2 linked regions of the Cricetulus griseus genome follow. The protein of the gene in region 1 interacts with the protein of each later gene in a pairwise test. Links are inferred from orthologs where the notes say so. Each region holds a gene or a part of one and is shown on either strand. Other genes may lie near its edges.

Region 1 (10,383 bases):
GCACAGAAACCTGCAGAGATTCCCTGCTTCTTCTGTTGTCCAGCCAAGGAAGGTTCTTTGAGACCACAACAAAGAGCAACAGTTTCCCAATCAGAAAGCTGCTCCACGTTGCCTGATGCCAGCCCAGGGAGCCAATAGAGACCCAATGGATCACATAATCACAGCTAGGCGAACTTGAGAGCTTAGTTCAGGGTGCCCCTAGCCCCTGGAGAAGCTGTCTTCAATGTGGACCCTGAGCACCCCATCCTGCCGACAGCTGACAACTAGATACTGGGCTGCCTATCTGTCCAATCCGCTTGTCTGGCCCCTCCCAAGCTCCCTGAGGGACTCTCCCTTGCACAGAGCAGGTGCAAACCTTTCTGTCTGAAGACTGAAGACTGCAAGCTTATGGCCACCAAACCACTGCCTTAAAATGTTGACAGAGTTCCAGGCAGCCTACCTGATTGGAGGCTAAACCAGGGAGAAATCTGGGAAAGATAAGAGAGTGGGGCTAGCCAGAGTGGGGAAATGGACTTAGCCTATCACAGGTACCAGGGTCTGAGAATTGAAAGGGACAAGTAATCCTCTAGCTCTTTTTCAAGAGATCAGGATTCCAAGCTGTTTGTAGGTCCCTGGCCACACTTTCCCTTCCCCAAACCTGCTGTCTTCTCTCCTTCTCCAAGCTACTAAGTGGCCAACCTGAGAAAGAAGAGTTGGAATATCAAGTTTCAGCCTTTGTCCAGGGCTGGGTGTGACTAGGAGAGTTCTAACTAGGACAAAGCCTAGGACAAGCACAGATATGTATTAACTCTGCATAAGATAGCATGGAAAGTTTGCAGGGACACACATTTAGCCATGTGAACGGGCTTGGCATGAGTTAAGGGCTTTGTTAGCTAATGTCTGCTTTTTTTCAGGAGAATGTATTCATGTGTGGCATGTACAATTGGAAATTTTGAAAAATGTAACATGGATGACATATTTACCACAAAAAAGTGATAGTTAAAATGAACTTACTTCAGCAGAGAAGGTTAGTTCCCAAAAGTGCTCCTTAAAGCCCAAGTGCATAGTTGTGAACAAATAATTCTCTGAGAACACTGATGGAAGGCTTCCTATCAGCCTGTTACTTCTTCTGGCCCTCAGCTATGCAGAAGGCAGTGAAAAGTAGGCTCTACACATTCACAAGCTACTAGGCAGGAAGATGCTTCTGTGTTTCTCTAATCCTGGGCCTAGATGGTGTGGAGATGTTTCATGATGATTTAAGCAGCATATCCTAGAAAAGTTCCCACCCCTGTTGCCAGATGTAAATACTTCTCCATAGGCAGAGTCACAGTTTTGGACAGAGGGGAATACAATCAGAGGACAAATGCTCCAGATGGATCACAGACTAAGGGACAAGCAGCAGCTCCTGCCAAGTTGTCTCTGTGGCTCTTAAGGAAACCGACAGAGTAGCTCAGTGCTGACGTTCCAAGCTGCCACAGAGATGAACCAGGGAAGCTATGACTGCAGTTCAGGTTTGATCTGGGAGATCTCCCAGGTGGGGCAGGCTGTTGGAAGGAACCCACCCCTAGTCTTGTCAGAAACAGCTGAGCAGCCACACTGCGGGGTAGGCAGAGAAGCAGTCAGGGCACATTCAAGGGCTCCATCTGAGCTCACCTAGCTCAGGAGGTGTTTCTCCAGGGGGGCCGCCAGGCTGTTTGTTTGCAACTCAGCTAAATTGCTCCCAGGAGGGAGACTTTGTTTCACAACATATTTTCAACCAGACCTTTTCTGAAAACATGTCTTGTCTGCACAGGCACAGGAGCACCCAGGCCCCAAAGGGCAGACTTCGTCCCACCTAGTTGCAGCCCTCTCTTCCTTGTAGTTTCCCTGTGGAGCCAAGTAGGGACAGAATAGAGATGCATCTTTAGGGTAACCATGTGAAGGATGACCTCATGGTGTCTAGTTCATAAGCTCATCTGTACCCTATGTTTGCCTTTCACAACACCAAAGGCAGTGGAAGCATTGTGATGGAGGCAGGAAGTGCCACATGCTGCCTCTGTGTGAACAGATGGGTTGTTCCATCTCCCTGTTTCTCTTAACCATCTGCATTGTGGACCCCTGTTGTGGGATATTTGTACACTGTGTGAAAATATATTTCTGTGATTGGTGTAATAAAAAGCTGAATGTCCAATAGCTAGAGATGAGGTATAGCCAAGACTTCAAGTAAGAGAAAGAGGAAGTGGGAGATGAATCTCAGTGTGCAGGAGATGCCAATAAGACATGGAGGGAGTCAGACATACAGAATGAAAGAATGATAAAAAGCCATGAGGCAAAACGTAGATGAATATAAATGGATTAATATAAGTTATAAGAGCTAGTGGGGACAAGCCTAAGCTATAGGCCAAGCTTTCATAATAAATGAATCTCCATGTCATTATTTGGCAGCCATCTGGTGGGACAGAGAAAGACTCATTACAGACCCCATCCTTTCCTGGGGCTGCAGAAGACCCCATCCTTTCCTGGGGCTGCAGAAAGTTGAGGGAATGTCTTCCACAAAATCTCCCAACCCTACTCTGGGCTTAGTTTCTAGGGCCCTTTTAGAGGTGCAGACAGTGCCCTTGACTATCCCAGTACAAAGCACTTATGATTAGGCAGTGTCTTTTTTTAAATTCTGCAAAGGGTTTCCTCTGGTACCCTACTACCTTTTCTGCTCTGGGGCCAGAGAGAAAACTTGCCAAGCATCTCTTAAGTGGGCTTCTCTCACCTTCTAGCAGGGTAAGGCTTCAATGCCACATGTCTAGGGTTCCACTGAGCTGACAGCAGGCCCTGTATTCTCATCTCAGAAGCACATCAGTCCCCAGCATATTTGGAATAGAGGAAGCCTTGCATTGCATGGGGTCCCCTAAGGATAAGAGGGAGGTGACAGAGTAATGGCCAAATAGAATTTGGGACTCAAGCCTCTTCTTTCTTCACCATTTCTCTTTTACCTCCTCTCTCCTACTCTTTCCATCCCCCACCCCTATACACAGTTCTTTTCATATTCCGATGACACACATTCTCCTACAGATGGAGAATTCTTGATAGATTTGCCGCCTGGAGAAGTTTCACTTAGCCACAAAGGTGATGTAAAAGTTCTAGGTTCCCACACCCAAAAAGATTTGTCTTGGTTACTTTTCTGTCATCAAGCCACTTTCAATTCATTCCACCAGAGTCCTCCTGCGCTAAAAATATCTGTAAACAACTTTCTGACTCTCTCTCACACACACAAATCTGGACTCTGATAGTGTAGGTGCTAACTCCAAGCCAATAGGCAATCAGCCTTAAAACTATCAAATGTGTGTCAACCACTTGGTCTCAGGGAAAGGAGTAGCAGCCAGGTAAGCCTGCCTAGTGACTGAGCTATCTGAAATGTGACGTTTAGGGCTATAAGTACAAAGGACAGTGCTGTAGCATCTAGAGCTCTCTCAGGACCCCATCCTCAGATATTCAGTAGAAAGCAAGACACTCCCTAGTTTAGGACTAGGGAGAACTTAGCCAGGGCACAATGTTTTCCCTGTCTTGCTAGAAAACCCCAGAGACTCATAGTTCCTCTCAGGAACTCGTTTTTTCTTTGGGAAAATGGAAAGGTTTCTGATCCTTTCGATGTCATTTTCTCTGATTGAATCACTATACCACCTGACAAGTCCTACAAACAATCAATGACATGTCACCAATGGGAAGGACTGTGTGAAGACTTGGCTAAAGACAGTGAGGGTGGGGAATGATAGGCAGTGGAGGACACCAGGGACCTTGGGGCAATAGCAGCAACCCAGTTCTAGGCACACTGTCTTGGAGCAGAGGGCTATCCCCTATTGTACCTCCCAACCCTGACAAAAGTAAGGTTAGGTCAAGAACTTCTGGCACCAAGTTTTGCTGCAGTCATGAAGCATTTATTGAGCATGTTGTCTGAGCAAAGGCTTGAGTGGTGTGGAAGTAAACAAAGGAGGAATCAAAAAGCAAACCCTGCCCACAGAGAACGGAAGAAAAGCAATGTTGGGTTACAGAGACCAGGCCCACAAAGCAGAGATGGTTAGGTGTTTATGTCAGTGCTTCTTTCAGGGCTGGTGCCATCCTTTAATTCCTCCAGAGGAGAGGCATCTCAACCCAGGCATACCTGTATGGTGCTACCCAGTGGTTCCCTAGCCTCGCAGCAGCTAGAATCTCACAATAGAGTGAGCGTATCTCCAGGCAGAAGGCCCAAGCAGAGGGGTAAAATGACCCAACTGCTACCTGGGGGGCTGCTGGGAGATAGAATGGCGTGGATAAGGGCATCCTTGAAAGCAAAGGGAAGACGAAAGAAAGGAATGGCTCTAATGGGGTTGTGGTGTTTGTGAAACTTTACTGACGCATCCAAAGCCACAGGTTGGCTATGCAGACTGAGACCAGCAAACTAAAGAGCACAGCCTCCTTATGGCGCCACGTGGCATCCTGGTCCTCAAGGGCACGCAGCCGCCCAGAAATCACTTGCATCTGTGGAAGGACCAAACACAGGACTTGTGAGCAGGAATCACTCTTATGAGAAAGGCAAGACATAAGGGTAGGGGGAAAATATGACCAAAACCAAAATGAATCTTTGTTCCCCCTTCCACATCCTTTTCTCTTCCCCAATTCCTGTCCAGCATCTCCAGCATAAAGGAAAGTCAAGGGTGAACATCAACATGAGGTACTCAAGGCATGAGGCCTGAGAAGAACAGAAAGGAGAGCCCAACCTCACTTCATTTGCTACAGGATATGATTTGGACAAAGGCTATGAAAACTCGGGGGTGGCTTTGTTCACAACTGCCAAAATCACCCACTCCAAAGCACTATGATGCTTCCTCCAACTATACAACAGATGCTTACCTGCCTTCTCATGACTTCCATCTCCAGCCCATTGAGTTCTTCCAGGCCAATCTCTGCCACTAAATCTGCCTCCAGACTGTTGGAAGGAAAGGTTACATGGCTCAGAGGTGTTGGTGGCCATAGAAAAGACACAGAGCAATAAGGTATGCCTGAAGGCTTTTTGGATAAAGATCCCAGTCCTTCCCTTGTGTAGTAAAGAAGCCGGAGGCTTTGCCAAAGCATACGTAGATCCCAAATGGCCAGGAGGCAATAGTATCCCAATACTTCAAGTATATACATCTGCTTCTCGACTCGGATGCTCACTAGTCCCTATGGCCCTACCCTCTGCTTGTTCCTCCCCCAGTAGCTAGGAACAAGACAATTGAACTCTTACCGCTCATAAGGGACCCTCCCTGTTTGGAAGTTGCCAGGAAACTCCTGGAGATAGCCATCCACCTGACTGTGATCTCTTGGCATCCGGGGCATCTGCACCTGATGACCCTACAGAAAGAAAGGATACACCATTCCAAGTCACCCTTTTAGCACCGCATTGTGCATGAATCAACAGTACACCCCATAGGAGCCCCATGATGTCATTTCATCTTCCTGTGCCCCCCCCCACACACACACCATGCCTATTGGTAGCTTCTAGCCTTGTGTGCTGTGCCAAGGAAAATGCAGTGACAGGCTTCTCTGTCTTTTGGTAGAACTTTTACATGCAGGCATCCCTTGAAAACCCAAGCTACCTACTGAAGATGAATGTAAACCTTCAAGATGATTTTAAGTAATTTAAAAGAAAACATCATTTCACACCTTGGAAGTTTATAAAGAATTGTATAGTCATCCCTTGGTATCCATGGAGACTGTTTCTAGAATAAACGCCTCACTATGGTTATGCAGCTCTGCAGATTCCCAAGTTGCTTGTGTAAAAGGTCATAATATTAGAATATAGCATAATCATATCTTTTTATATAATTGAAATAATTACTATATTATTTATAATGTCTAATAAAATGTAAATGCCATCTAAGTAATTCTTATACTATATTGTGTAGATAATCATTGCAAGAAAAACATCTTGCATGTATTCTCTAGAGATGTAATCACTCCACCTCCACCCACAGACAGTGTCCATCTGTGATCGATTGAGCCAATGGATGCAAGACCTAGGAATGTAGAGGGTCAACTATAGATGCATTTTCCAGTCAACATGTTTGCTAGGCATGCAGACTTCTAGCATTGAAGTCCCAGCATTATACAGTACAACCCTAACCTTCCAATGATCTACCCTTCATTCATTTGCTTTATTGGTATATGGAAGCTTCCTCCTCCTAATGATCAACTTCTAGCTATATCTACCATGGGAATACAGGAGCCCCAAAGTAAGAACTTCCCACCCTAAACTAGCCACCATTTGTCAATACCCCTTTCTTGGGACGAGGTCCAGTCACATTCCAAAATGACTGGCCTGAACCAGATCCAGCAGGTTTTTGCTCTGCCCTTGGACGTCTTTGGATTCCTCCCAGTGACCGGGACCCACGTTCCATCATTTCTAGAAAGAAGAACAGAGACTGCTATGAATACTGCTTTAAAGGTTTTACCAGAACTTTCTGGGTACTGAAAACAGCAGAAATCACTCAATACCCATTCACTTCTGATGCTCAGCCTATTTGTCCATCTGTTCAACAGGTCAGTATGTATTTACTGAAAATCTGGCCCTGGGCCTAGGATTCTGTAGCATGAGCAATGATCAAGAGATGAAATCCCAAACACAAACCATCTCTATGTATGAGAGAATAGGAAATACCAATAATAAAATCTTCCATCCATGTAAATTCAGATATGTAAATGGTTCATGAATGATTAAAAACCAAAACAAGCTAATATGGCAAAAGAAAAGCATAAATCAACACTGAAATACCTAAAACAAACGAATAACCTTCCAGACTAAGTAAACAGCATGCACAATGACTGGGATGTTGTAGAAGCAGCACAAGTAAACGCACATGATTAACTATACCCAACAGGCTTTTTAGGGGATTCTCACCTGACATCACTGGTTGTTCTTGGCTTTGGTCAAAGTTTCCAGTCCCTAGATCTTCAGAAATGGACATTTTATACCCTTCTTTGACATTGGAAGGGCTTTCTGCCATCACCACCAGGTATTCATTTGTAAGGTTGTTCAGGGTGGATGGCACAGAGAAGACACTTGGAAGCTCGCCTCTTCCAGGGGTAGAAATGTGAGGGAGATATACTGGCACAAGAGGGTGGAGCCAGTTCTCCCTCTCTGTGCTCAGGCCTTGGATTGGCACCTTGAGTTCCCACTGTATCTTGTTGGTGGGTCTCGTGGCCGCCTTCTCTTCTGCTGTGTAAGCAACTTGGAGATGAGATAGTGCTCTAAGTGGTACTGTTTTTGTGAGCTGCCCTGATTCATCTCCCCTTGATTTTGCTACTCACGGGTAGGAGGATCCCATCCTCCATCATGGTCTAGAAAGAGACAAGGGCTGGCATACGGCCCAAGCATCCATAAGTGCCCAAAGCAGTGACAGGTCCCATGCTTATCATGGTTTCTACAAGCCCATGACTGGCCAGTAATCTAGGGTACAGCACTCTATCAGAGGAGCTTCTCTGTACAGAACATCCTGCCTCCTCCAATGCAGAGTCTTCAAGCAAAGTAGATGGCCTTGTCTGATATGAATCCTGGGAAGGAAGCAGGGAGGGGCAAGAGGGACATGCTGGGCTTGTGTACCCTGCTGTATGTTTCAGCTCTGCCTCAGTTTTTCTACAGATTAGACCAGATGTATGTGTCAATTTAGTCAGGTTCTGATCCCCAGTGAGTTTATCAGACACTCAACTCTCAGTATTTCTGCAAAGGTATACTGCAGCTGTGATTATTATCCCTAATGGACTTTAAATAAAATGGCTTCCTCCCAGTCAGGTGCTTGTACTCAACCAATGTGCTGAAAGAATCAAGTGCAAACCTTAAGGAATGGGTCAGTGAGTGGGATGACCCCATGCCCCAAGGTTCCCAGAGAATGAGGGAAACCTGCCACCACAGCCTGCCCTGTCAGGGTGCTGAGAGGCATTGGAACAGCTTCCATAGGCTCACGCCGTCCCGGCGCTCTTGGGCCTTGGACTCAGCACTCCCAAGATGATACAGACAGATCCAGATAAAGAAAAACCTCTAAAGGTTTACACTGCATTTAAAAATATATGTAGGCTTGTGAGAGAAAAAATAACAGGAGGAAATAGAGTAGCTGGGTGTGGTGGCTCACGCCGGTAGGATTTGCTGAAGGAAGCAGAGGCAGGCAGATTTCCACAGAGAAACCCTGTCTCAGAAAAAATAAACGAAAGATAGTAAAAATAAAGTAATAAAAAAGCCACATAAAGACGGAAAATACACAGAGAATCTGGATACTATATGCCATATTGTTCTCTTTAAATTGTTTGATTGCCAAGGAAAGACTTACTGCTGCTAAAATACATTTGATTATAAATGCTGCTAAATTAATCCAACTTATACATTTCAAAAATGTTCTAACTTCAAAATTTAAGATTAAGGACAGGGTACTTAGAAATAAAGGTTTTGCTTGTATTTCCACAGAAAATGAAAAGCTGTTGATTCCTTCAAGACTAATATGGTTTGATCAAGCAAGACCCCCTGAAGCTGAGATGATACAGCCTTACAGACTACAAAAACAAGGACTTGGTCAGGTTTCTATATTTTATCATGATCCCAATGGTATGAACATCTCCCCCAATCAGCAGGAAGCAGTTTAGAAAGAATGACACCCATAGTCCCAAATAGTGTTTATAAATGTTTGTTTTCATTTAAATAGGGTTGGTTATAAATGATAATGAGCATAGTCAATTTTTTAAAGAAAAAAAGGGGAATAGGATATAGGAATGAATACTTTGCATTGGTATAGATTTTCATTTATTGATACAATTTTAAGGTCAATTTTGTGATATGTATATGTCTCCTCTTGTTTAGGTATTGTGTTTATACAGATCTTTTACCTATAATAGTCAGAACTTATAATTAGGTTAGTTAGGTTTTCTAGATATAGAGATGTATTTGAGATGGTTAGGTATTCTTCAAACCTTTCAAAGACCTACAGACATATGGCATTTAAATGGTTTAGGGTTTTTCTTGACAGTGAGACACAACTGCTCCTGGCACACCAATTATGTCAGAAAGGAAGATGGGCATCTAAGAAACTCGTTATGAAGTTTGCTTTCAACATGGCAAGATTAGCCATTTGAGCAAGAAACTGCTCTTGCCTGGACTGTTTGTTGCTGTATAAACTGGACATGCAGGACCCACAAGAAAGTAACTGCTAAACTTACAAAACAAGACAGTACTGAAGGGTTCCTGCTGAAATGGAGAAGTATGCCAGACACACTGTGGCCTATCGGCTGAAGATGGATGCCCCAACGTTACAGAGAAGCTTTGGGTGACTGTCCAGGTAGAGAGATGTCTCTGCCAATTCTAGAGTTTATATATTATCCTTCTGTGGTCTTTGATAGAATCGAAGACAGATAGTTATGGTTATAGTTTTCTTCAGTTATCCTTTTATTTTAGACAGAAAAGAGGAGATGATGGGAGAAGTACTTCTGTGTATGTTTATCTTATTGATTGTTAAATAAAATACTGTTTGGCCCATGAGACAGCAAATTAGACAGGACTAGGAGTCAAAGAGTATTCTGGGAAATGTAGTAGAGAAGTGGTGATCCAGGCAGGAAGTGACATAGCAAGGAGACCCATATAAAAGCAATGGAAACAGGAAATGTCCCCCTTTTTTGCTCTTCCTCCAGTGGCGCAATGTGATCCACCAGCAAGGAGGGACGCCAATAAGGCGTCCGAAAAAATAAGTCTTAATTATGATAATTGAGACTGAGCTAACAGATGAGAAATCCTAGTCATTGACCAAGCAGCTTTGTGCCTAATATGTCTCTGTATTATTTTGTCCATCCACGAGGCAGGCAGAACTCGGGCGGCTGGTGGAGACCGCCCATGTGGCGATAGGGCTCTGGCGGCTTTTGGCGGAAAGATTTATTGTAACATTGAGGTTTCCAAGAGGAAGACAAAAGTCTACTCCAGGATAGCAGCAACAATTCTTGCCCAGATTCCCAGCCAGCCAAATTCCCTGCAGTCCCAGAGTCAATTGTTTAAATGAACTTCTATATACTTAGGCATCTGCATGTGCATCCTGTCTGCTGTGTTCCCCTGTAGTGTCTTAGGCTGATACCATTATTAATGGTCAAACCCTGGCTCTAAGTCCTGGAGCCACTGAAGAGAGAAAAGGTTATTTGTCAAAGGAATCAATCACAGCTGGGCCCAGCTTGGAAGAGGAAGAGAGAACTAAGACAAGGGGAAGGGGAGGAAGAAAAGGAGGAAGGAAAGGGAGGAAATAGGACTAATAGAGGGAATGTGGCTTGGTGACACCCCTAGCCCAGCTCAGAAATCTTATAAGAGCAACCTTACTGCATTCCTGGGGTCCTGAACAATTCTCTCCTTGGGAGAGCCACAATGAAACCTGAGCTTTGTGGAGGAACACATCT
Region 2 (10,665 bases), on another chromosome or scaffold:
CCCCTCAGGCTCGGGCTCACTGGCCAGCCAATTCCTGTCTGCTTCTTGGCGGGGTGGGGGGAGCCCGGAATGACTGTCTAGTCCCAGATCTCAGAAGTGCCCTTCTCTCTCTCTCTATCCCTGTCTCTGGGGACTCCCCGGGTCCCCCCCTTTGCCTCACTCCTGTCTTTAACCGCCTTCTTGTGTCTGCTCTTCCCGACTGAGTGCCCCTGGGTCACACCGCAGTGCCACTCTCCACCATCTTCGGGTTCTTGACATGAACTCCCCAAATCTGCCTATGCAAGTGAACCCATGAGAGAAATTAAGTCCCACCCCGAGGAAATAATACCTCGTGTTTTCAGAGCTTAAATATGCCTAATAGTTTGCTGACAACCCTGCTGGTTCCCCCTTGCTTAGGGCCGTGGAGAGGGTGAGGCCCTATAAAAGACCTAAACCAGCCCTTCAATTGGGGGTGGGGACTTCCCCAAGAGACTTCCTGTTTCTTGGTTGGGTGGGGGGAGCCCGGAGTGACTGTCTAGTCCCAGATCTCAGAAGTGGGCAGGTGAGAACTTGGGTCCAGAACCCTAGGTCTGAGGGAGGAAGGGGACGAGGACGGGCTTCCGGCTCCTGGTTCCCTGGCAGTGTTGAGGGGCGGTCCTCATGAGATCCATGACTCCTGCCAAGGGCTGCTTTGGGAAGGATTTATTAGCACTTAAGTGGCCATGACAGATCTGGGAGGAGGGGGTGACACTAACGAGGCTGCTGTAATCAGCTCCCCTAGAGGCAGCGATTAAGGGCTCATTACCCACTGGAGCGGGAACCAACCGGGGACAGACTTGGGGAAGGACAAAATTAGGTGGGAGAGTAGGGTGTGGCAGTCTGGAGGCAAGGGTGGCACACCCCGGAGAAGGGGGGACTCCAGGGAAAGAGCTGTGAGGCGGGGATGCTGGAGCTGGGCTTATGGCAGGTAGGGACAGAGGACACAGCCCGACGGGGGATGCCAGTCATGGCTTCTCCAGCTGGACATCTCCAATGTGCAGACTGCCCACGTCCTGATAGGTACCCTGGAGGCCCCTGGAGATGTCCTCATACATAGAGCAGTCATCAAGATTCAGGCCCTGCGGGGGACAGAGTAGACATCAGTACCCTGGCAGCTGGGGTCCCTGTTGCCAGTCAACCCCAGAGTGGGCCCCTCGGGCCTGGCGCCTCTCTCCCTCTTCCGGGGCACCGACCCCGAGTACAGTCCCATTCAATGCTGACCTCATAAAGATTTTCATCCTCATAGTCATCTGGCAAGTCCACTCCAATCTTCTCGTTCTGCCATCGCTTCTATAGGAGGGGATGAGATAGCCTCGGTGAGCAAGGAGGAGGCGAAGGAGTTTCCAGACCCTCTCATACGAGCAAGCGCTTTATCAGAAAGGAGAAGGCACACACGCAAGGCCACACACACTGGGGTCTTGGAGGATTCTGCTCTCCAAACCTCTCTTTCTTCTTGTGAGCCTCAGACTTTGAACATTTCTCCAAAGCATGCTGGGTGTGGTTGCTACCACATTCCACCAGCTTTCTCGGGGTTTCTATGTAGCGTGAGCTCCTGGGAACTCGTTAAGTGGGCCAGGCTGGCCTTGAACTCCTCTGCCTTCTGAGTGCTGCTGGGATTAAAGGTGTAACCCATCGTGCTGGCCCTCTGCTATTCTTCAGTGATGACAAGTATAATAAGTGGTGGTGCAGCCGGGCAGTGATGATGGGTGGGTATTTGTGAGTTCGAGGTCAGCCTGGCCTACGAGAGCTAGTTCCAGGACAGGCTCCAAAGCTACACAGGGAAACACTGTCTCAAACCGTACCCCCCCCCCCAAAAAAAGACTGAAGAAGTGGTGGTGAATGTCTGTAACTCCAGTACTTGGCAAGATGAGGCAGGAGGATTATGAATTCCAGGCCAATATGATCTATATAGTGAGTTCCGACCCAGCCTGAACTACACAGCAAGATCCCATCTCAACCTCCCCACTAAAAAAGGTGGCGCACGCCTTTAATCCTAGCACTTGAGAGGCAGAGGCAGAGGCAGGGGCAGGGGCAGGGGCAGGGGCAGGGGCAGGGGCAGGCAGATCTCTGTGACTTCAAGGCCAGCCTGGTCTACAGAGTGAGTTCCAGGACAGCCAGAGCTGTTAACACAAAGAAACCCTCTCTCAAAAGACAAAACAAAACAAAAGAAGAAAAGAAAGAAAGACAAAAGAAGAAAAGGAAAGGAAAAAAAAATACGTTGCCATGCAAACTTGAGGACATGAATTTGGTCTGGGGACCCAAAGCGGGAAGGAATGAGGGGACTCTGGAAAGTTATTCTCCAACCCTCATACTCACATGCCCAAACTCTCTCACACACTATCCATATATACACACTGATAGGAAATAAATAAGGGCAGACATGGTGACACACACCTTTAATTCTACAGCAGAAATTGAGAGGCATAAATAGTCAGATCTCTGTGAGTTCAAGGCCATTCAGGGTTATACAGTAAAACCTCATATATGTATATATATATATATATGTATATATATATATATACATATATATATATACATATATATATATATAATCTTTGCCTTGTGGCCTAAGGAAAGTAGGGGCTCTAGAGGGACTGCCCTTTGGTGGGACAGGAGAAGAATGAGAAGGTATCTAGAGAGGACCAGTGGGCCATCGCGACACCCCTTGAGCTCAGTGCCACTTAAAATCCTTTCATTACATTGAGGGGTACTCGAAGCCTCCCACGCTTTGGAGGAGGAACCTCAGGATCTAGAGGTCGGGCTGGACACTGGGAGTCACAGTCCAGGAAGAGGCAAGCCCAGATGACTTGGGGGGGGTGTCACTTGGGAGACTCACCCTGAATAGCAGCAGCGTTCCCGGGACCACTGCGCAGAACAGTAAGATGATCCCTTCAGCCGTGATGATTCGGTTCTTGGTGCCTTCCCCCATGTCCAGGAAGGGCCTAGGGACTGGCTCTGTGAAGACAGGGAGCGTGCTGTTCCGGTGTCCCCTCCTCTCCCAGCCCTGCCCCCTGTGAGGTCAGGGAGTCCTGAAGCCACCATCCTACAGGTGAGAGCCTGTGTGCTGCTGGGTGTAGGTCCAGGAGGGAGGAACTGGCTCCGCTCCCATGAAAGCCGTGTTCTGGATAGGACGGGGAACCCGAGGGGCGGTGTCCCTTGCTACTCACTACGCACTCGGAGGTAGGTGCCACAGGAGAATTGTGCCTCGTTGTTTTCTTCCACATGGCACCTGTATATGCCCCTATGGCTCTTGTTCACGTTAGAGATGACCAGCTCGCCTCTGGGCCCCTGACCAGGACCCAGGAACACTGCGGGTATGGAGTTGTTGAAGTTGTATTGAAAATCACCGTAATACCATGTGACATTAGGATTGTTGGCGTCGTGTTTGCAGGTGAGGCGGGCCTCATCCCCCAGGTTCACCGTCAGTGATGGTGGTACCTCTATCTTCAGGGCCTGGCATCTAGGGCCTGTGGAGAGACAAGAAGAGACAAGTGCGTCACAGGCTGGGGACAGCCCTGATTGCCCCAATCCAGAGTCCTTCACACCAGTGATGCTGGGAGAGACGCCCTGTGGGTTCTTGCCACGGTTACTCCTTTGCATTTTGTCCCCCTGACACCAGCAGTACTCGGTTCAGAGACTCAAGAAGGCCTTCTCCTTCATTGGGAAGGAATGGTTTCCATTTTTCCCAACCCTTAGGAACCCCCACTGGGGTAAGGGAGGGGCAGCATCACCCAGACTATTGGAAGTGGTGGCTTTCCCACCACCTCCCTGAATCTGTCCTTTCCTGGCCTTGGCTTGGCTTTTGTGCATAGGCTGCTTCTCACTTCTGTAATTTGGGGACCTGGGACTGAGTTCTGTCTAGGGGAGAGGGAGGGAGCTCTGAGAGACAAGGGTAGACTGGTGGCTGTGGTGTCCACTCTGTGTTTATCTTTTTTTGTTGTTGTTGTTTTTTGTTTTTTTTTGTTTTTTTGTTTTGTTTTGTTTTTCGAGACAGGGTTTCTCTGTGTAGCTTTGGAGCCTGTCCTGGCACTCGCTCTGGAGACCAGGCTGGCCTCCGCCTGCCTCTGCCTCTGCCTCTGCCTCTGCCTCCCGAGTGCTGGGATTAAAGGCCAACGCCCAGCAACTCTGTGTTTACTTTGAAAGCCTGCATTCTCAGCCTCCCCAGGACCACGCTTGCTTGCAGCTGTGTCCTTCCTGGACACAGCATGGAAGAGGAAGGTCGGAAGTCAGGAAGAAAAAGTGGGAAAAGAAGAAGCTGAGCAACTTGATGGTCACGGGCTGAAGACTCAGACTCAGACTCTGTTCCTAGTAACACTTTGAGGGGGTGACCTTCCCTCTCCTCAGCCTGTTCAGTCAACACTTACCTCAGTTCCTCATTCTTACTTGTGGAGATACGGTAGTGTGTCGTGGGGCCTGGTGGTCTTGGGCCTATCAGTGGACGTCCCTGAGCCTCCTCCAACCCATCCTGGGTACATTTGGGTACAGAAAGCTTCTCATGGGTCCCTGCCCCTGCTTCTTTTCTTTTTGGGAGAGGTCTCAGTAAATTGCCCAGTCTACTAGCCATGACAGAACTCATTACGTAGACCAGGCTGGCCTCAAATGCAATATTCCTCCTTCCCGCCTCAGTCTCCTGAGCTCTAGAATTACTTTAAAGGGTATGCACTATGCACCATCCTGTCCGGCTCCCCGCCCCCCCATTCCCTCTCCACCCTCCACCCCTCCTGTCTTCTAGGGCGCGCTCGGGTGCACACACACACACACACACACACACACACACACACACACACACACACCCCTGGCCCAGCACCTTCCCTTTGGCCACACTACCTAGGCAGGCTTCGGAGAGGAAGAGAAGGAAGAGAGGCAGGACTCCGGGAGCTCCTGGACCCCCTGACATCTCCCAGTCAGTCGGTTAGTCGTCTGGGTTGCAGTAGCCCTGAGGTACCAGATTCCACCCCAAACTCTACCTCACTTCCTGTTCGGCCCCACGGAGATGAGCTCCAGTGGCCTTTATCTGCCATGCGTTTCAGGCCCTGAGTTGAGAGGAACTGCCCTGCACCTGCACTGGCCACAATTCCCTTGAGTCTCTCGGGCTTGGGTGGGGAAGGGGCTGGTTCAAGGCCTACTGAAGAGGGACCCTTGCAGGCCTCTGCTGCAGGCAGGCTATACAGTCTGTGGTGGAGTGGACTCAGCGGAGGGGTGTGGTGGCTCATGCCAGTCATCCCAGCATTTGGGAGGCTGAGATTGGAGAGTAACGAACCAAGAGGCTAGCCTGGGCTACATAAGAAACAGGCAGATGCCAAGTGGAATTCTGTGAGTTCGAGGACAGCCTGACCTACAAAGCGAGCTCCAAGACAGGCAGGACGACGCAGAGAAACCCTGTCTCAAAAACAAAAACAAAAACAAAACAAAGAAACAGGCAGATGGGGTTGGGGTGTGGGTAACAGGGAGTTCACTGGCCAGCCAGTTTAGCCAGTATATTGAGCTCCCTGTGTCCATTTTGTTTTAAAGGTGAGGAACTGGATGGTTCATTGGTTAAGGGCACTCATTTCTCTTGTCAAGGAGCTAGGTTTAATTCCTAGCACCCACATGGTGGCTCACAATCAGACATATAAACACTAAATGAACCTAAAAAAAACCAAAAAACAAAAAACAGGCCGGGTGTTGGTGGCACATGCCTTTAATCCCAGCACTCGGGAGGCAGAGGCAGGTGGATTTCTGTGAGTTCGAGGCCAGCCTGGTCTACAAGAGCGAGTGCCAGGACAGCCTCCAAAGCCACAGGGAAACCCTGTCTTGAAAAACCAAAAAAAAAAAAAAAAAAAAAAAAGAAAAAGAAAACATGAGACAGGTGGCCTACTCCTGTATGTAATCTCCAGATAACCTGTGTTTGCTCTAGCACCTACATGGCAGCTCGCAGCCAGCTCTAATTCCAGGTCCAAAGGATAGGACACCCTTTTCTTTCTTTCTTTCTTTCTTTCTTTCTTTTTTCTCTCTCTCTCTCTCTCTTTTTTTTTTTTTTTTTTTTTTTTTTTTTGGTTTTTCAAGACAGGGTTTCTCTGTGGCTTTGGAGCCTGTCCTGACACTCGCTCTGGAGACCAGGCTGGTCTTGAACTCACAGAGATCTGCCTGCCTCTGCCTCCTGACTGATGTGAGCCACCAACGCCCGGCTTTCCTTTCTTTCTTTCTTTCTTTCTTTCTTTCTTTCTTTCTTTCTAAGATTTTATTTATTATGTATACACCATTCTGCTTCCATGTACATCTGCACACCAGAAGAGGGCACCAGATCTCATAACGGATGGTTGTGAGTCACCATGTGGTTGCTGGGAATTGAACTCAGGACCTCTGGAAGAGCAGCCAGTGCTCTTAACCTCTGAGCCATCTCTCCAGCTCCCTGGCCACCCTTTCCTTGTCTCTGTTGGCACCAGTCATGCACATGGTACACAGACATATATGCTCACAATATAACCATATACATAAAATAAATAAAATTTAAAATGTTAACAAAAGTTAACTCACAGAGATCTGACTGCCCCTGTCTCCTAAATGCTGGGATTAAAGGTATTCGTCATCACCTTCTAGCTAACAAAAGTCTGTTTTATAACAAGGAAATGGAGGTTTTTGTGTGTGTGTGTGTGTGTGGTTTTTCGAGACAGGGTTTCTCAGTATTGCTTTAGAGCCTGTCCTGGAACTCTGTAGATCAGGCTGGCTCCGAACTCAGAGTTCACCTGCCTCTGTCTCCCCAGTGCTGGGATTAAAGGTGTACGCCACCAATGCCCAGCTAAATGTTTTTTCTTTTTAATTATTTATTTTTAATTTGCATTGGTGTTTTGTTTTGCCTGTGGAAAGGCACTGGGTTGTAGTTACAGTTGTCAGCTGCCATGTGGGTGCTGGGAATTGAACCTGGGTCCTCTGTAAGAGTAGTCAGTGCTCTTAACTGCTGAGCCATCTCTCCAGTCCTCTGGAAATGGCTCTTTGAAGATACTAAGTAAGTAGTTAGGCAATTTTAGCATGTATGAAGACAAGGCAAAAAAAAAAAATCACTAAGATAGGTGTATTGGCAAATGCCTATAATCCCAGAATTTGGGAGGCTGAGACAGGATAAAGGCAAGCTCCAGGTCAGCTGGTGTCACAGACTGTGCCTCAGACAAAATAAGTCAAAGTAACAACAAAAGGGAGGCAGAGGCATAAGGACTGTTAAGAGTTCCAGGCTATGGGGGCTGGAGCGATGGCTCAGAGGTTAAGAGCACTGACTGCTCTTCCAGAGGTCCTGAGTTCATGGTGGCTCACAACCATCTATAATGCGATCTGGTGTCTTCTTCTGACATTCAGGCAGAACACTGTATAGATAATAAATAAACCTTAAAAAAAAAAAAAGAGTTCCAGGCTAGCCAGAGCTATACAAGACTGTCTCAAATAAACCAACCCAAAGATAGGAGCTGGAGAGATGGGCTCAGCCGTTTAGGAGCCGTTTAGCACATACAGTTCTGGTGGAAGACCTGAGTTCAAGTTCCATGCCCACACTTACATGTGGGTTACAACTGTTTTTAACTCCAGTTTCAGAGGGTCCAACATTCTCAAGTACCTGGACTCATGCACACATGTAGTGTGCACACACACACACACACACACACACACACAAACACACCTCCCCCAAAAGACAAAAAAATAAATGAAAGATAATTTGAGCTGGGTGGTGGTGGTGGTGCAAGCCTTTAATCCTAGCATTTGGGAGGCAGAGGCAGGTCAAGTCAGTGTCAGAAATGAGGAGTAAAAACCTGGTGTAGATGAAGGAGTTGACTTGTCTTCCAAAGGCAAAATGACCCATCATGCTGTTTGGGGACAGAGGCCTGTGGTAGAGACAAATGTGTACATTTGTCTCTGGGGCTGGGGCTGGGGAAGGACTCAGACAGCTTCGCTCAACCTAAAAAAAAAAATAGTTTTGCTGGGTGTGGTGGTGCACACCTTTAATCCCAGCACTTAGGAGGCAGAGGCAGGCGAATCTCTGTGAGCTCAAGGGCAGCCTGGTCTACAGAGAAACTTCCTGGACAGCCAGGGGTTATACAGAGAAACCCTGTCTCCAACAAAATTTCCTTTTCATTTTATGAGCCTGGGTGCCTTGTCTGAATGTATGTTATCAGATATCCTGGGAGCTGGATGGTTGTGAACTGCCATATAGACGAAAGGAACTGAACCAGGGTCCTCTGGAAGAGCAGCAAGTGTTTAGCTAGCTCAGTGGCCTCTCCTATTTTGACTTTGCAGTTTTTTTTTTTTTTAAAGATTTATTATGTATAGAACATTCTGCCTTCATGTCTATCTGCACACCAGAAGAGGGCACCAGATCTCATAACGATGGCTGTGAGCCACCATGTGGTTGCTGGGAATTGAACTCAGGACCTCTGGAAGAGCAGTCAGTGCTCTTAACCCCTGAGCCATCTCTCCAGCCCAACTTTGTAGTTTTCTTTAGTGTCTTTATTCCCTGATGTTTGGTTCTGTGCAGGGTATGGGCCTCTCCTGTGGCAGGCAAGGTTTCAGCTACTGAGTTACAACTGATGTTCCTTGCATAAGAGCTTTGTCTTTAATTACTTTTAAAATTATTTTATTCGTGTTTCAATTGCATGTACGTCTGTGGGAAGTGTCACCCAGACAGTGGTGAGCTGCCATATGGGTACTCTGGAAGAGCAGCCAGTGTTCCTAACTGCTGAGCTATCTCTCTAACCCCATTTTTTTTTTTTTGGGGGGGGAGTGGTGGCTGGAGACAGGGTTTCTCTGTGTAGCCCTGACTGTGCTGGAATTCACTCTGTAGATCATTCTGAGATTCATCTGCCTTTCCAGTGCTGGGATCAAAAGCATGTGCCTCCACTGCCTGGCTCGGCTATTATTTTTGTGTGCAGGTGTGCCTTGCACGTGAATATAGGTGCCCCTGAGGCTAAAGGCCATTGGTGTCCCTGGAGCTGTAGCTGTAGTTGCGAGCCACTTGACATGGATGCTAGAAACTGAACAAGTGTTCTTAACCCCAGAGGCACCCTCGACGTCATGGGTTTGGAGAGTATTTGCAAGGCTGCTTTGAATACCGTTTTGCATGCCCGAAATACCTCATAGTTTAAAAATAGGTCAAGTGGCCAGATCTAGTAGTACATGATTGTAATCCCGGCACTGGAGGTGGAGGCAGGATGTCATGAGTTACAGGTCATTTTTAGGTTTGGGCTACAAAACAAGAATAACAACTATTACCTAGGCTTCAAGAACCAGAGATCCTTTGGCTTGCCCGAGTTCAGCTGACTGGTCTTCTGAGCTGGTTTCTCCTGTTATGCAGGAACTGAGTTTGGCACTAAGAGTATCAGCAGGGTGGGACACACACCTTTACTGCCAGCACTCAGGAGGCAGAGGCAGGCAGATCTGAGTTTCAGGCCAGTGTCCAAGGCTAGAGCATCCCTCTCGAGCCTGGCAGTGGTGGCGCCCTCGAAAAACCAAAATTCACTCAGTTCTCCCTGAAGAGGCTTAAGGAATCCTCCCCACTATTGTAAGGTGCCTGCTTTTAGAGGACAGCGGGCTTTCAGCCCTCCAGAGTAAGCTAGAACTCAAGCTTTTCAGCAGTGGCTAGCGGCTGCCCTCTAGTGGCTGAAGCAGGGCTTCAGCTAGGAGGCTCACTTGAGCCGGATAGCTCAAGTCAACGGAGCCTGAGATGGACTTTATGGGCTAACACAGGCCACCTCTCTCAGCCTGGAGCAACTAGTTTCCAGTGACTTCCCCTGATTTTCAAACGCTGCAAGATACCCATCTGAAGAGGTTTGCCGGGCCACCAGGAGGGGAGGGATTCATTTCTCCTCAAGGACTGTTTTATTCATCAGCCACTTCTGGTAATGGCTTTTTTATTTTTGGAGAACTTGCTCCCTAGACCAAAGTGGCCTGAGATCCACCAGTCTTTGATGGGATTAACAAGGTGTGCGCCACTACTGCTCAGCCTCTAGTAAGGGGCTTTTACCAAGGGTTCCGCAGCAAAGCCAGTTTCATCTGGGGGACATGGAATTTCAAATTCTAAGCCCTCGTCGGGCGGTGGTGGCGCCTTAAATCCCAATCACTCTGCACTCGGGAGGCAGACGGACTTCTGTGAGTTCGAGACCAGCCTGGCCCACAAGAGCTAGTTCCAGGACAGCCTCCAAAGCCACAGAGAAACCCTGACTCAAAACAGAAAAAAAAAAAAAACCCAAAAATTCCAGGGCCTCAAGGTAGCCCTGACTACCTAGCACCTGGGAGACTGCTAGGATCAACTGTGTCTGGATAGCCCAGCATACTCAAACGTAAGTCCACTCAACCACCACACGGGGGCACTGCACACAAAGGCACCATGACACCTAGCTTTCATCTTTAGCAGGGGATGGCTGGTCACTCCCCAACTATACTGCCTTCTCTGTAGACCAGGCTGGCCTTGAGCTCAGAGACTTGCCTCTGCCTCCCAAGTGCTGGGATGAAAGGAGCGTGCCACTAACACCGGGCCTATACTGCCTTCTCAAAACCCAGAATTTCCCCTTCCTGGGAATTCTATCAGACAGGCTATGTGCCTGGTACACCTGCGGCCCAGCCCTACCATTGGCCAACACTGTAGCTCTAAAAACAAAACGAACAGAAAGAAAGCAGACACAGACCAGG

Evidence for each region. The genes of interacting proteins can lie anywhere in the genome.
Region 2: the proteins of Fate1 (region 1) and Cd79a interact in binary tests that used the Homo sapiens proteins (3 or more experiments, as listed by UniProt). The two-hybrid records come from large-scale screens. The link is inferred for Cricetulus griseus from reciprocal best matches to the Homo sapiens genes FATE1 and CD79A.

Annotation. Positions count from the first base shown.
Region 1 is NC_048604.1:3,686,718-3,697,100, forward strand, and holds Fate1 (fetal and adult testis-expressed transcript protein), read right to left. Parts: upstream 6,972-10,383; coding exon 6,866-6,971; intron 6,371-6,865; coding exon 6,243-6,370; intron 5,320-6,242; coding exon 5,213-5,319; intron 4,916-5,212; coding exon 4,840-4,915; intron 4,468-4,839; coding exon 4,336-4,467; 3' UTR 3,921-4,335; downstream 1-3,920. UniProt on the Homo sapiens protein: Involved in the regulation of endoplasmic reticulum (ER)-mitochondria coupling. Negatively regulates the ER-mitochondria distance and Ca(2+) transfer from ER to mitochondria possibly implicating it in the regulation of apoptosis.
Region 2 is NC_048602.1:9,635,710-9,646,374, reverse strand, and holds Cd79a (B-cell antigen receptor complex-associated protein alpha chain), read right to left. Parts: upstream 5,040-10,665; coding exon 4,986-5,039; intron 4,484-4,985; coding exon 4,383-4,483; intron 4,213-4,382; coding exon 4,154-4,212; intron 3,486-4,153; coding exon 3,186-3,485; intron 2,974-3,185; coding exon 2,855-2,973; intron 1,309-2,854; coding exon 1,240-1,308; intron 1,098-1,239; coding exon 984-1,097; 3' UTR 707-983; downstream 1-706. UniProt on the Homo sapiens protein: Required in cooperation with CD79B for initiation of the signal transduction cascade activated by binding of antigen to the B-cell antigen receptor complex (BCR) which leads to internalization of the complex, trafficking to late endosomes and antigen presentation.